3 linked regions of the Notamacropus eugenii genome follow. Each later gene encodes a partner of the first gene's protein in a complex. Links are inferred from orthologs where the notes say so. Each region holds a gene or a part of one and is shown in the gene's direction. Other genes may lie near its edges. The genes, in order: ERC1, PPFIBP1 and PHLDB2.

Region 1 (3,748 bases):
AACAAAAAGGCTCATGTGTTGAACCTGGGGAACCTGTATAATTGTAAAGAGAGCAGAGGCTACCCTTGGGGAATCCTAGACATCAATGCTTTCAGATCATTTGGATGGGGGCCACAAATGAGAGAAAGGAGGGGTCTGCAAAGGGGAACCTGAGTGTGCGGAGGGAGGCTCTGCCAAAAATTTTACACTGACACCCCTCTTTATTTTCCATTACACTCTCCTTCCTTCAGCCTCGGATAGTATCACCTACTTCGCGTGGAAGCCAAGGCTGCGGTCACCCAGTCAGTAGTGACTCCCTAAGAGTGCCAAAGCTAAAAGGCAACATTAAGGCTAGGCTAGACCATGGCCACTGAAGCCAAGCCAGACTCCAGGGGGAGTCCTCCTAGGAACCATCAAACACGTGGGGCCGCGGGCACCTCCTGGGAGCGTTCTGGGGCTGCCTGACCCTAAGGGAAAGACGGGGAGGTGGGAGATGAGCGCGTGTGGGGTGGGGATCGGGTGATCACTTGGTCAGTAAAGGTCGGAGGGAGGCGCACAACGGTCACTTTAAAGACGAGGCCAGCGGCGGGGACGGGACGTGCTTAGAGGGGAAAAGGGTGAGGATCTGAACCCAGGTCCCAGACACCAAGTCCACAGCTCCCTCCGGACACAACCCTCGTAGGGACGGGCGATCCTCGAGGTGCCGGAGGGTCAGGCGGCACTGCTCGGCCTCGGGAGCGGAGGGGGGCGGAGAAGAGGCGCGAATGCGGGTCCGGAGCAGGTCTAGACCATCCAGGGCTGGAGGACCCCGGCCCCGCCCCTCCCCCAAGCCTTCTCACTCGCAGAGGCGCGAACTCCCTGTCCTCATTCTCTCTCACCTCCCCCAGGTCTCCTCACCCTGGAGCGGCTCTCCTTGGAGGGAACGTGGAGGAAGGCCCTGGGACGTGCGGGTGGCTATCTGCGGGGGGAGGAGGGCAGTCATGTGTCTCCCGTGTGTGTGAGCCGCGTGCCCGCCCGTGGAGGAGGGCGGTCGGCTCTGTGCGTGTGCCCGCTCCCGGCGCGCGCCCCCGTCGCCGACTTGCCCCGCCCCCGTCCTTGCCTTGGAAGGATCCCGGGAGCCTCCGGCGCGCGCGTGCGGCGGGAGCTCGGGCGAGACCTCGGGCGAGACCTGGAAGGTCGGCGTTGGCCGAAGGGGAAGCAGCGGGGCGGGGCAGAAGGAGGAGGGGCTCCCTGCGCCTCAGCGCCCGGCGGACTGGGCGGGTCGCGGTGACGTAGGCAGGCGCCTGGGCTGTGCTCTGGTTGTGGCGGCGGCGGCGGCGACAGCGACAGCAGCCTGGGAGGTGGTGGCGGAGGCGAAGCAGCGGCAGGAGCAGCCGCGGCAGGAGCAGGAGCAGCAGCAGCAGCAGCCGCCGCCGCCGCGGCCCTCGGAGCTGGGCGCACCGCGGCGCCCTCTCGGCTCGGCCGGCACCCGAGCGTCGTCTCGCCCCTGCGGAGCTCGCTGCCTCCGGCGTCTCGGCCCGGGCGGAGCCTGCGGCGGCCCTAGCGCCCCGGGGGAGGGAGGTGGGGCTGGAAGGTGAGGCGCCGGGGACCCCCTCCTCCGCGCCCCTCCCCCTCTCCTCCGCGGCCGCCGCCCCTCCCCCGCCGGGCAGCCCCACCCTATCGGCTCGCGAGACTGGGCGGGGACGGAGGTGGCAGGTTTGTGGGGATACCTAGGGAGGATGCGGGCATCGGGGAGCTCGGGGCCAGACTTGGGCCGGGCGCAGGCTTGGGGGAGATGAGAGGCAGGGGGCGGAGGCCTGGGGGGCAAGCGCGAGGTTCGTTCTGGGGATTTAGAGGGGACTGATGTGAATGAAACTGCTGAGGAAGCGGGGGATCCCTCTCCCCGCCTCCAGACCCCCGCCCCCACCCCACCCCCTGCGGCTGGCATCTTAAAATGGGCCGCTATTATTCGGAGGGAAGGTGCCGCGATGAATGGATCTGAGTGAGAGAAGCCCGGCCTGGGTGAGCGGCCGGCCAGGGGGGCTGGGTCTGCCCACACCTGCTTCCCAGAGGTGACCACCGCCCCTGTGCCCGCTCCCAGAGCCTGGCTGCCTGGCCCTGCGCGGGGCTCCTGGGTGTGTTTCTAAGGCGGGGGGCGGCCGGGAGCAGCGAGGCCCTGGGAGCCGTGCCTCTAAGCCACTGACACGGGCACTTGTGGATGACAGCTCGCTCTGCCGGGCGGAGAGTGTTGGCCACTTTATTCCCCGAAATCTGGGTTGGTTGGGAATGGGTATTTGAAAAACGGTTACAAACACAGCTGTGTGGTTTTAAGGGATCGATACCTTGTTCTTTGTGATGAGCAGAGATTTCAATTAAATCTCTGCTTAAAAATAAAGTATTTCTCCAAATAGGCCCTTTAACTTTGGAGAAGTTTTTGGTGTTCTTGTATTTACTGTGCATTGTTTTCCGGTAAAATTTGTAATCTCATTTTCCAGGAAAATGTGAAAATCCCATCCTAGGGAGATGTTATCCAAGATGCTACCTACGTTTCTGTTTTAAACTTCTTGTTAGCACAGTAAATAAAACTTTGCTGCCTTAGATTTGCCTCCTTTCTCTTTAGAGTTCACAATGAATTGACCTTACCTACTACTTATTGTTGGATGGAAGTAGGTATGATTGATATTTCTTCCAGTAGTTTTCTTCTACAGGATAAGAAACAGTTCCAAAAAGAAATGTAGAGAATGATTTCCATTAGATTTATCTAACTTTGGAAAGTAAGTCAATGCCACCAAAAATAATTAGAGCAGTACTTTTAGAAGGCATCTGTCAGTTTCAGTAAAATAGGTATTTTTACTTATTTTCACTTAACTGAGCAAGCTATTTCATATCTTATAAATAAGAGGATTGCTTATAGCACAAATTGGTTGGAAATAAGAGGAGGTAATAAGTATTAACTGAGACAAAGTGTGATTCCAATTGTAACTATAAAGAAAATGTTTAATCATTTTTAAGGAAATCAAGTATAAAGTGGAATTATGCAGTGACTTGTTTTTATTTTTGAGGTAACAAGAAAATTAAAATTTATATATCTAGTTTAGAGTTTTGAAATTTTTTTATACTATTCAGTTAGGGTAGACACAAACAAAATATGAAATAAGTTGTTAAATGAAATTTTGTAAAGTTATGCTAATAGAATGATATTCGCAAGGCTGTTAGGACAAGCATCTTTATTTTTGAATTTAAGAAGCATTAAATACCTGTCACGTTCTAGGTTCTTGGGATACAGAGAAAAAACCCCAGTCCCCTGAAAGATTGCTTGCCCTTGAGAAGCTTGACATTTTTGATTCACATTCCAAGTGTGAGGTAGGCAGAAGATGAAGGTCACTTATTTCTGTTGAATGGCTTGACTGAAGGAAATTGTATATCTTGTTTTTCCAACAGTGCTACTTGCTGCTCGTCATGTCTTTCTTATGCAGATATTAAGGTGTTTTTTTCTGTTACTTAGTGGAATTACAGACAAGATGTCAATCTTTTCACTAATTTTTAAAGCTACTACTGAGAGACAATGGAGAATTAGCTTTATGAAGCCAGAAAGACCTGAATTCGAGTCCTGCCTGTGATGTGACCTTGGGCAATTCACTTAATTTGTCAGTGTAATAGGCAGTTTTCTTTAAGACTACATAAAAGTTGCAGAGATCTACTTGCCTTGGTAGAGGGAGTTCCCTAAATCAATGAAATCTTAGTTCCATTCCTTTTTACTATTTCCTGCACTACATTGTTGTGTGTTTGT
Region 2 (3,748 bases), about 14 Mb from region 1:
AAATGTAAAAATTATGACTAAAATAATGCAAATGAAAATACCAGGAGATATCAGAATGCAAATTAAATGCAATGATTCTGATTCCAGAAAATTGATGAAACATTCTCCCTATCAGATGCTTTTGCTGGGACACTTTATCTTTCTTGGCTGCTTTTCTTTGTTACAAGGAAAGGTTCAATGGGGCAGAATTGTAGGAATACACAGGGATATAAAAAATACAAAAAAAAAAATATTACTATAGCATTTTTTAAAAGTGTTACTCCCCAATAGGTTAGTGCTGAAAAAACTATGAGTATATAGTTCTCAAAATAACTATAAACTGTTAACAACAGTATGAAAGAAAATTCGAAGTCACTAATAATAAGGGAAATGCAAATCAAAACAACTCTGAGGTTTCTCTTCATGCCCAGCAAACTGGAAAAGATGGCAGAAAGATAGAAACAGGCAAAGTTAGGGTGCTTGTGGAAAAACAGGCACATAATGCAGGAATTGTGAATTAGTGCAAGCATTCTGGGGGAAAAGATTGGAATGATGCAAAACATGTTACTTAACTGTTACCCTTTGACTCAGAGGTCCCACTAGTAGGCATATACCTTAAGGTAATTAATGACAAAAAATTCTCAGTGATTTTTAAGAGTATAAAGGGATCGTCAAATTAAAATGTTTGAGAACTGATGCCCTAAAACAGGGGTGAGCAAATTAATGCTCAGCCCAGAAAGAGGGACAAGTTCTACCACCTGTTTTTAGACTGCCTTAGAGCTACACATGGTTTTTATATTTTAAAATAGTTTTATTGCATTTTAAAATGTGAAAAGTTGGGTGGTTGGCTAGTTTTGGACTAGATTGTGGACTCTTGCCCAAAAATGTTAAAAATACTTAATAGTTCTATATGTTACCAACTAGACTGAGATGTTGTGTATAGCCTAGTGAATAGAATGCTGGACTGGTCAAGAAGACCTAAATTCAAATTCTGTTACAGACCTGGGCTCTGTATGACAGGGCAAGTCACTTAACCTTTTTCAGCTTCAGTTTCCTTATTTGGAAAATGGAGCAATAAGAGCTTCTGCCTCACAAGGTCAACTATTACTAGTAAAGCAGTACTAATAAGAGTCATCTGTGTCTCCTCCTGAATCTGATCATTATACTTGCAAATAGCATGTGGTCTTTAATAAATATTTATTGAATGAACAAGTGAATAAATGACCTCAGGACTTCTCCCTTAGCATAGAGACTTGAAAACTGAAATCGTAATTTGTCAAGGAGGCGTTGATACTTTTCTGAGTGCAGTTAATAACCCCATCATTTTTTTTTGTTGTTTCAGATCCAGATTTGACTTCATTCCCCACTTGAGAAACTAGAAAAATGATGAGTGATGCCAGCGATATGCTGGCAGCTGCTTTGGAGCAGATGGATGGTATCATAGCAGGTAAGATCAGTCTCCAGCTTCTAAAATCCAGACTCAGTGATGAGTTGTTCCTGTGAAGGAGGAGATTATATTGGTTTGATCAGTTTCATCACACCCTCATAGTAGCTTATCTTGGACATATCAACTCCCATCGCTAAATCTCAGTTTTCCCATATATATGTAAATATGTATATGGGGGTTGGAAAATATCAGTTCCCTTCTTGCTTCCAAATCTTATAATTGATTGATTGACCATTGCAAAGTAGTGTCCATTTGTGGACACTAAGAGGGATTTTGAAAATCTAGAAGAGTTGTTTAGAGGAACGTGTCACAGTGGTGAGATGCATGAGGCAGCCATGCCCTATGAGAAACAGTTAAAGGAAATGAGAATGTTTGGTCTGTAGAAGAGGAGACTTGGGGAAAGAAGGAATGTGATAACTGCCTTAGAACATTTGAAGGGCTGTCTGTCGTATGGAAGGATCAGAGTCAGACTTAGTACACTAGAACAATGACTGGTTCTTTGACTTTTTGGTCTTAGGGCCCCCTTTACGCTCTTTAAAATTATTGAGATCCTCGCCTGCCCAATGAGCTTTTGTGTATGTCGGCTATATCTATCAGTAGTTTCTTGTTAGAGAAAAGAACTTAAATATATTGTATAAAATATTATTATAATGATAGTTTTGACTTCAGCGACTTCCAAGAGCTCCCAAGATCACACTTTGAGAACCAGTTTTAGAATCAGTTCTTCATCAGTTCTAGAATCAGTAGATGAAAATTAAGAGAAGATAGATTTCAGATCAAATTGAACAGTAGTAATCACTCATATTTCTCCAATGTTTTTAAGTTTTTTGCAAAATTGCACTCTCACAGTCTTGTAAAGCAGGCAGTATGAAGATTATTATTATTCTACAGATAAAAAAGCCAAGAGGTTCAGTCCCTGGGTTATAGAGGTAGTTATTGTTGGAATTAGAATGCAAGCTCTGTTCTTCTAACTCTTAAGATCAGTATTTTCTTTATTACATCATGTTTTCCCCAAGTCCAGTTGGACTTTGTTATGGACTCTCTATTCTGTAATTGTGGAATCTCTCTTTGGGGCTGTTTGGCCTCAGAAGTTATTTAGCAATGTTACCATTTCAATACCATACTTATTTCCCCCGTCCCAGAGAATGGCAAATGTCCTTGCTTCATAAAACTTCCTCTGGTGTATCTGGCTGGGTCAGAGGAGGTGTGTATCCCACAGCATCTCCAATTCAGGCTAGGCCTTCATTTTTCTTACTCTCTGCTAGTGAGGAAGAAAGAACTATTTTCTTCAGTGAGCTTTTGAATCTCCTTTTCCATTTGGCTAATTCTGCTTTTGAAAGCATTCTTCTCCTCATTGGCTTTTTGAACCTCTTTTGCCAATTGAGTTAGGCTAGTTTTCAAGGTGTTATTTTCTTCAACATTTTTTTGGGTCTCCTTTAGCAGGGAGCTGATTTGCTGTTCATGCTTTGACTTCATGTCTCTCATTTCTCTTCCCAGCTTTTCCTCCACCTCTCTAACTTGATTTTCAAAATTCTTTTTGAGCTCTTCCATGGCCTGTGCCCATTGAGTGGGCTGGGACACAGAAGCCTTGATTTCTGTGTCTTTGCCTGATGGTAAGCATTGTTCTTCCTCATCAGAAAGGAAGGGAGGAAATGCCTGTTCACCAAGAAAGTAACCTTCTATAGTCTTATTTCTTTTCCCTTTTCTGGGCATTTTCCCAGCCAGTGACTTGACCTCTGAATATTTTTCTAGTGAGGAAACAATATAAAAATGCATTAACTGAGTATAAATCTTTTTGGTGGTGAGCTTTTAGAACTCTGCAGATGTTCTAGGTAAACTACATCCAAAGCATTCTCTCATCTACTATCAAAAAAAGAAATCTGATCAGTTTGGCATGGCTTGTTCTCTATAAAATTGTGTTGGTTCTTTGTAATTACTGCTTTCCTATCTAGATATTCAACAATCATCTCTTTATCTGATCTAGAATTTGACCAGGAAGTGAAGTTAAACTCATCGTCCAAAATTCTGGAGGGTCTGTTCTCCAATATTTTTTAGGCTAGAAGGACTACATTGGGACAACATTTGCCAGTCTCTCCAAACTTATGAACCACTGTTCTAGAGGATACTTCTAGCTTTCCATGATCTTTCAAATATTACTGACAGTAGTGTAGTTTTTGTGTCTGTCAATTTTTTTTTTTTTTTTTAGAACCTGTGGATGGAGTACATCTGGGTCAGGTGATTTGAATTCATCAAGGAAAATTAACTCTCTCCTTATTTATTATAAGTGTCAGCTCAGTGTTAGTAATTTTATAAATAAATTAC
Region 3 (3,748 bases), on another chromosome or scaffold:
CCAGGGAGGGAAAAGTGATCCGCAGGGCTTCAACTTCGGGAGCACTCGATTGTTGCTTATCCTTTCCTGGTTATAGCTAAGTAAAGCTTATTTTATTCATTGTTGAAAGAACTTTTTGAGATCAGACTTAAATTAAAAAGGGAATTGACCTGTCAGATCCAAATCAGAACACACCTATTATGCACAAGGCACAGGACTAGCCACTAAAGATACAAAGATGAAGGAAGGAAGGAAGGAAGGAAGGAAGGAAGGAAGGAAGGAAGGAAGGAAGGAAGGAAGGAAGGAAGGAAGGAAGGCAGGCAGGCAGGAAGGAAGGAAGGAAGAGAAAAAGGAAGAATCCTTACTGGAGTTTACATTTTACAACGATGTGATTCTCTTTCACCTCCATTCCCTCAAATCTTGCAAACTTTTCTTGTTCTGGTAAGAATTTATCAAGGTCCTAATTACTATGGGCAGCTAGGTGGACTCAGTGGATAAAGTGCCAGCCTGGAGTCAGGAAGACCTGGATTCAAACCTAGCCTCAGACACTTACTGGATGTGTGACCCTGGACAAGTCACTTAACCTCTGCACCAGACTTACTACTTACTACTAGCGCACTTAACTACTGCACTAGAGAAGGAAATGGCAAATCACTCCAGTATCTTTGTCAGGAAAACCTCATGGACCATATGGTCTATGGGGTCACAAAGAGTAGAATACCACCGAATGAAACAACCCCAACATTCTCCAGTTGATGGACACCACAAAAAGAGCTGTTATAATTACTTATCTCTTTGTAATCCAAGAGGTGGTGGGATTGGATTTCAGATATTCTTCCCACTGTATACTGGGAAAGGTTGAAGGTGTTGGCTAGGACGGGTTTTATTTTTATTATTATTTTATTTATCAGTTTACAGACTATTCCTTCCTCTCTGTACCAACTCGCTGTATACAACTTTATGACACACCAAGAAAACTGCCCCACAGGCAAACTGTCAAAAGGTGGTTGCAGTCACTAGGAGTTTCCCGGGAGAAGTTCAATTAGCGGGTGTGGAGTAAAGGGCAGATCCTACACTATCCCACCCCTTTTCCGCAAAAATCCCTAATGAACGGCTGCAGACTAGGCTTTGAACAGATAGTTCTCTATAATGGGGCGTAATAACAAGTACCAGCCATCCTGGCAATCTGCCTCCAGAAGTCTTTATCCCCATCTTCATTAATAGGAATAACAACAGTCCTAACCAGGGTCATAAATAAGGGGACTGGAGAGGGAGGGGAGAAGCAGAGCCAACCACTGGAAGGGAGGAGGGGGGAGCTGGCACACAGGGCTCCGGGTAAATACCTTCCCTTCCCTTCCTACCCCGGGCTAGGGAGTCGGCGTCACGGACTGGTGAGTAGGACTATTGCCCCATGGCGGAGGTGGGAAGGGAGTGGGGCACTTTCTTCTGGTCTCAGTGGGGGGCGCGGGGGGCTCTCTCTCCCCCTCGGGCCGGAATTGGTTGCAGCCGGTTGCGGGGCAGTGAGTAGGAGGAGGTGGAGGAGATCTGGCGGGCCCTTGGGTGGGGGGCCAGCGTTACTCTGCCTGGTTCCGAAGAGGGCGGGCTGCAGCTGGAGCGTCCCGACGGAGATTGGGATTTCGTGGAGCGGGGCAGGGCAGGGCAGGGCAAAGGCAGACTGGGGAGAGAGGGACGTCCAGGAACCCGCTGCAGAAAGGATGACAAGGTTAGTGAGGACAGGGAAGTTTCTTTGCTCTTTTTAACCCCCAGCAGCGGGAACAAAAGCGGGGACGGGGTTCCGCTGAGTAGGGAAAGGCTCGGGGTCGGATAAGAAGCAGCCAAGAGTTGCATGGCCTTGGAGGGGGAACCAAGAAGGACCTGTGGGGACTGTTGGGGGACCTCCTCTGTTGGGAGAGAGGAGCGGATGCTAAAGGGGTTTTCCCTCTGATCTTGGGCTCCCTAGGGTGAGAATATGTGTTGGGTCGGGGGCGCGGCGGCTGCGTTTGTAAAATAGGAGACAGACTTTGCCTGATTCTCTCCCGACAGCCCCCAGAGGGAGAATTTAAGAGATTTGTAGGGACCCCAGAAGCACCTCCTTTCGAATGGGGCTTTGGGACCGAAGTGCAGAACTGGGGTTACCCCGAGGTGCAGTGAGAACCAAGGCTGTGCTGCAGGCGGAGAAGTTGGGTGGGAGCTTCCCGGCTGGGACTTTTCCTATTTACTTTGCGGGCGTGTAAATTACCTCTCAATTTCAACCCCCCCAGACGCCAACCGTGGCTTTTGTTGCCTGTTTGACATATCCCGGTGTTCAGTTAGGAAAACCGAGACTACGTGCTGGCCTCAGCCGCTTGAGGAGGGGGATGCTCACTTTTTTTGTGTTGTTTAGGAGATTTAATAATACTGATCCAGGCAGTCACTTATTAAAGCAGAAGACCTGGCTCACCCCAGCCAGAGCCAGGAAATTAAAAGGCTGACAGGCAGTAGCTCCAAGGGCTGGGGTTTCCTGTTTTAAAGAGCTTTGTAAATGGAATCTACCTCCTCCATAAATCCATCTACCCTTCTTATGCAAAAGAGAAACGTGAAAGAAAGAGGCTAAGTGGGATTGGGGGAGAAAAGTCATGGGTTTGGAATCAAAGGACTTGGGTTCTAACGAGAGTTCTGCTCCCTATTTCCTTTGGGATCTCTAGGGCACGGCACGGAACCTCACCGGGCTTTAATTTGCTCCTCTGTAAAATGGGAGTAAGGGGTGGACTTGTTGACCTCTAAGATCCTTTCCAAGTGTAAGTCTCTGAATCTGTGACTAAACGTTTTATCCTCCCAACTCTGCCCTTACCATTTTGCTCTAGGCTCATCTCTCACCTTGCATTTCCCTAACTCACCCCAAGGTCTCCAGCTATTAGGTAACTTACCACTGTGAATGCTGCCCCACCTAGGTGCAGCAGGAATACTTTTGTTCTTTGTAAATAATACTCAGTTAAATGTAAGTGGTTAATATTTGTGACCCTCACCCAAGTTATATATGAATAACATTTTTTGTTGTGTTGAGATGTTGGGTTTGAGGTTCTGATTGATTTGGTTTGCATAAGTGTTTCAATGATCTATGTCTTTTCTTCAGGATTCTTAAATTCAGTCTCACCAGGAGGTAGTTGAATGTAGTGTGAATAGCTACATGTATGCCTCAAAAACAGTTGGATTTTTGGATTCTAGTGGGATAGCAACAAGTTGTTGAATTTGGGATAAATAAACATTTAGGGTGTCTAGTATTAAAAAGAACTTATTTCCTGGGTGCTCTTCCCCAGATGATAAAAATATTTGTAAGGAAGAAGACTAAGTTTCTCTGAAAAACAATAAAGCAGTGACCTTTTTCATGGTTTTAACTTAGTCATTTAAAGGTATTATGAATGATCCATAAAAGACATACATTCATTATTACTTGGGAGGAAGAAAAATTACTGCATTTGAGTAACGTAAGTAACCATTGCAGCCTTCACCTCTTGAGACCTAGTGGTTTACAAATCCCAGTCTCACTGACAAATGGAAAAATGAGATGTTTGGTTTTAGTACAGTCATCATTTTGCTCAATTTGCAATCTTCAATCTGTTTCAAGCAGCTGGCAGCTGTTGCTCTTAGGATGAGGCCCAAGACCTTGACTGTAGGGGGTGCAGTCTGGATCTATTATGGAGGTGGAAGAATAAAAGGATTCTCAGAAAATTATGGCAAGAAACTCCTATAGCTTCTATCTTCCAGGAGCCTGACTGAAGCCAGAGCTCTT

The links.
Region 2: ERC1 (region 1) and PPFIBP1 share a complex: the UniProt entries of both Homo sapiens proteins name them as parts of the cortical microtubule stabilization complex. The link is inferred for Notamacropus eugenii from reciprocal best matches to the Homo sapiens genes ERC1 and PPFIBP1.
Region 3: ERC1 (region 1) and PHLDB2 share a complex: the UniProt entries of both Homo sapiens proteins name them as parts of the cortical microtubule stabilization complex. The link is inferred for Notamacropus eugenii from reciprocal best matches to the Homo sapiens genes ERC1 and PHLDB2.

The regions. Positions count from the first base shown.
Region 1 is NC_092874.1:204,593,426-204,597,173, forward strand, and holds the start of ERC1 (ELKS/Rab6-interacting/CAST family member 1), read left to right. Parts: upstream 1-1,411; 5' UTR 1,412-1,674; intron 1,675-3,227; exon of another isoform or gene 3,228-3,321; intron 3,322-3,748. UniProt on the Homo sapiens protein: Regulatory subunit of the IKK complex. Probably recruits IkappaBalpha/NFKBIA to the complex. May be involved in the organization of the cytomatrix at the nerve terminals active zone (CAZ) which regulates neurotransmitter release.
Region 2 is NC_092874.1:218,743,055-218,746,802, reverse strand, and holds the start of PPFIBP1 (liprin-beta-1), read left to right. Parts: upstream 1-1,321; 5' UTR 1,322-1,362; coding exon 1,363-1,426; intron 1,427-3,748. UniProt on the Homo sapiens protein: May regulate the disassembly of focal adhesions. Did not bind receptor-like tyrosine phosphatases type 2A.
Region 3 is NC_092876.1:356,289,307-356,293,054, reverse strand, and holds the start of PHLDB2 (pleckstrin homology-like domain family B member 2), read left to right. Parts: upstream 1-1,254; 5' UTR 1,255-1,370; intron 1,371-1,524; exon of another isoform or gene 1,525-1,702; intron 1,703-3,748. UniProt on the Homo sapiens protein: Seems to be involved in the assembly of the postsynaptic apparatus. May play a role in acetyl-choline receptor (AChR) aggregation in the postsynaptic membrane.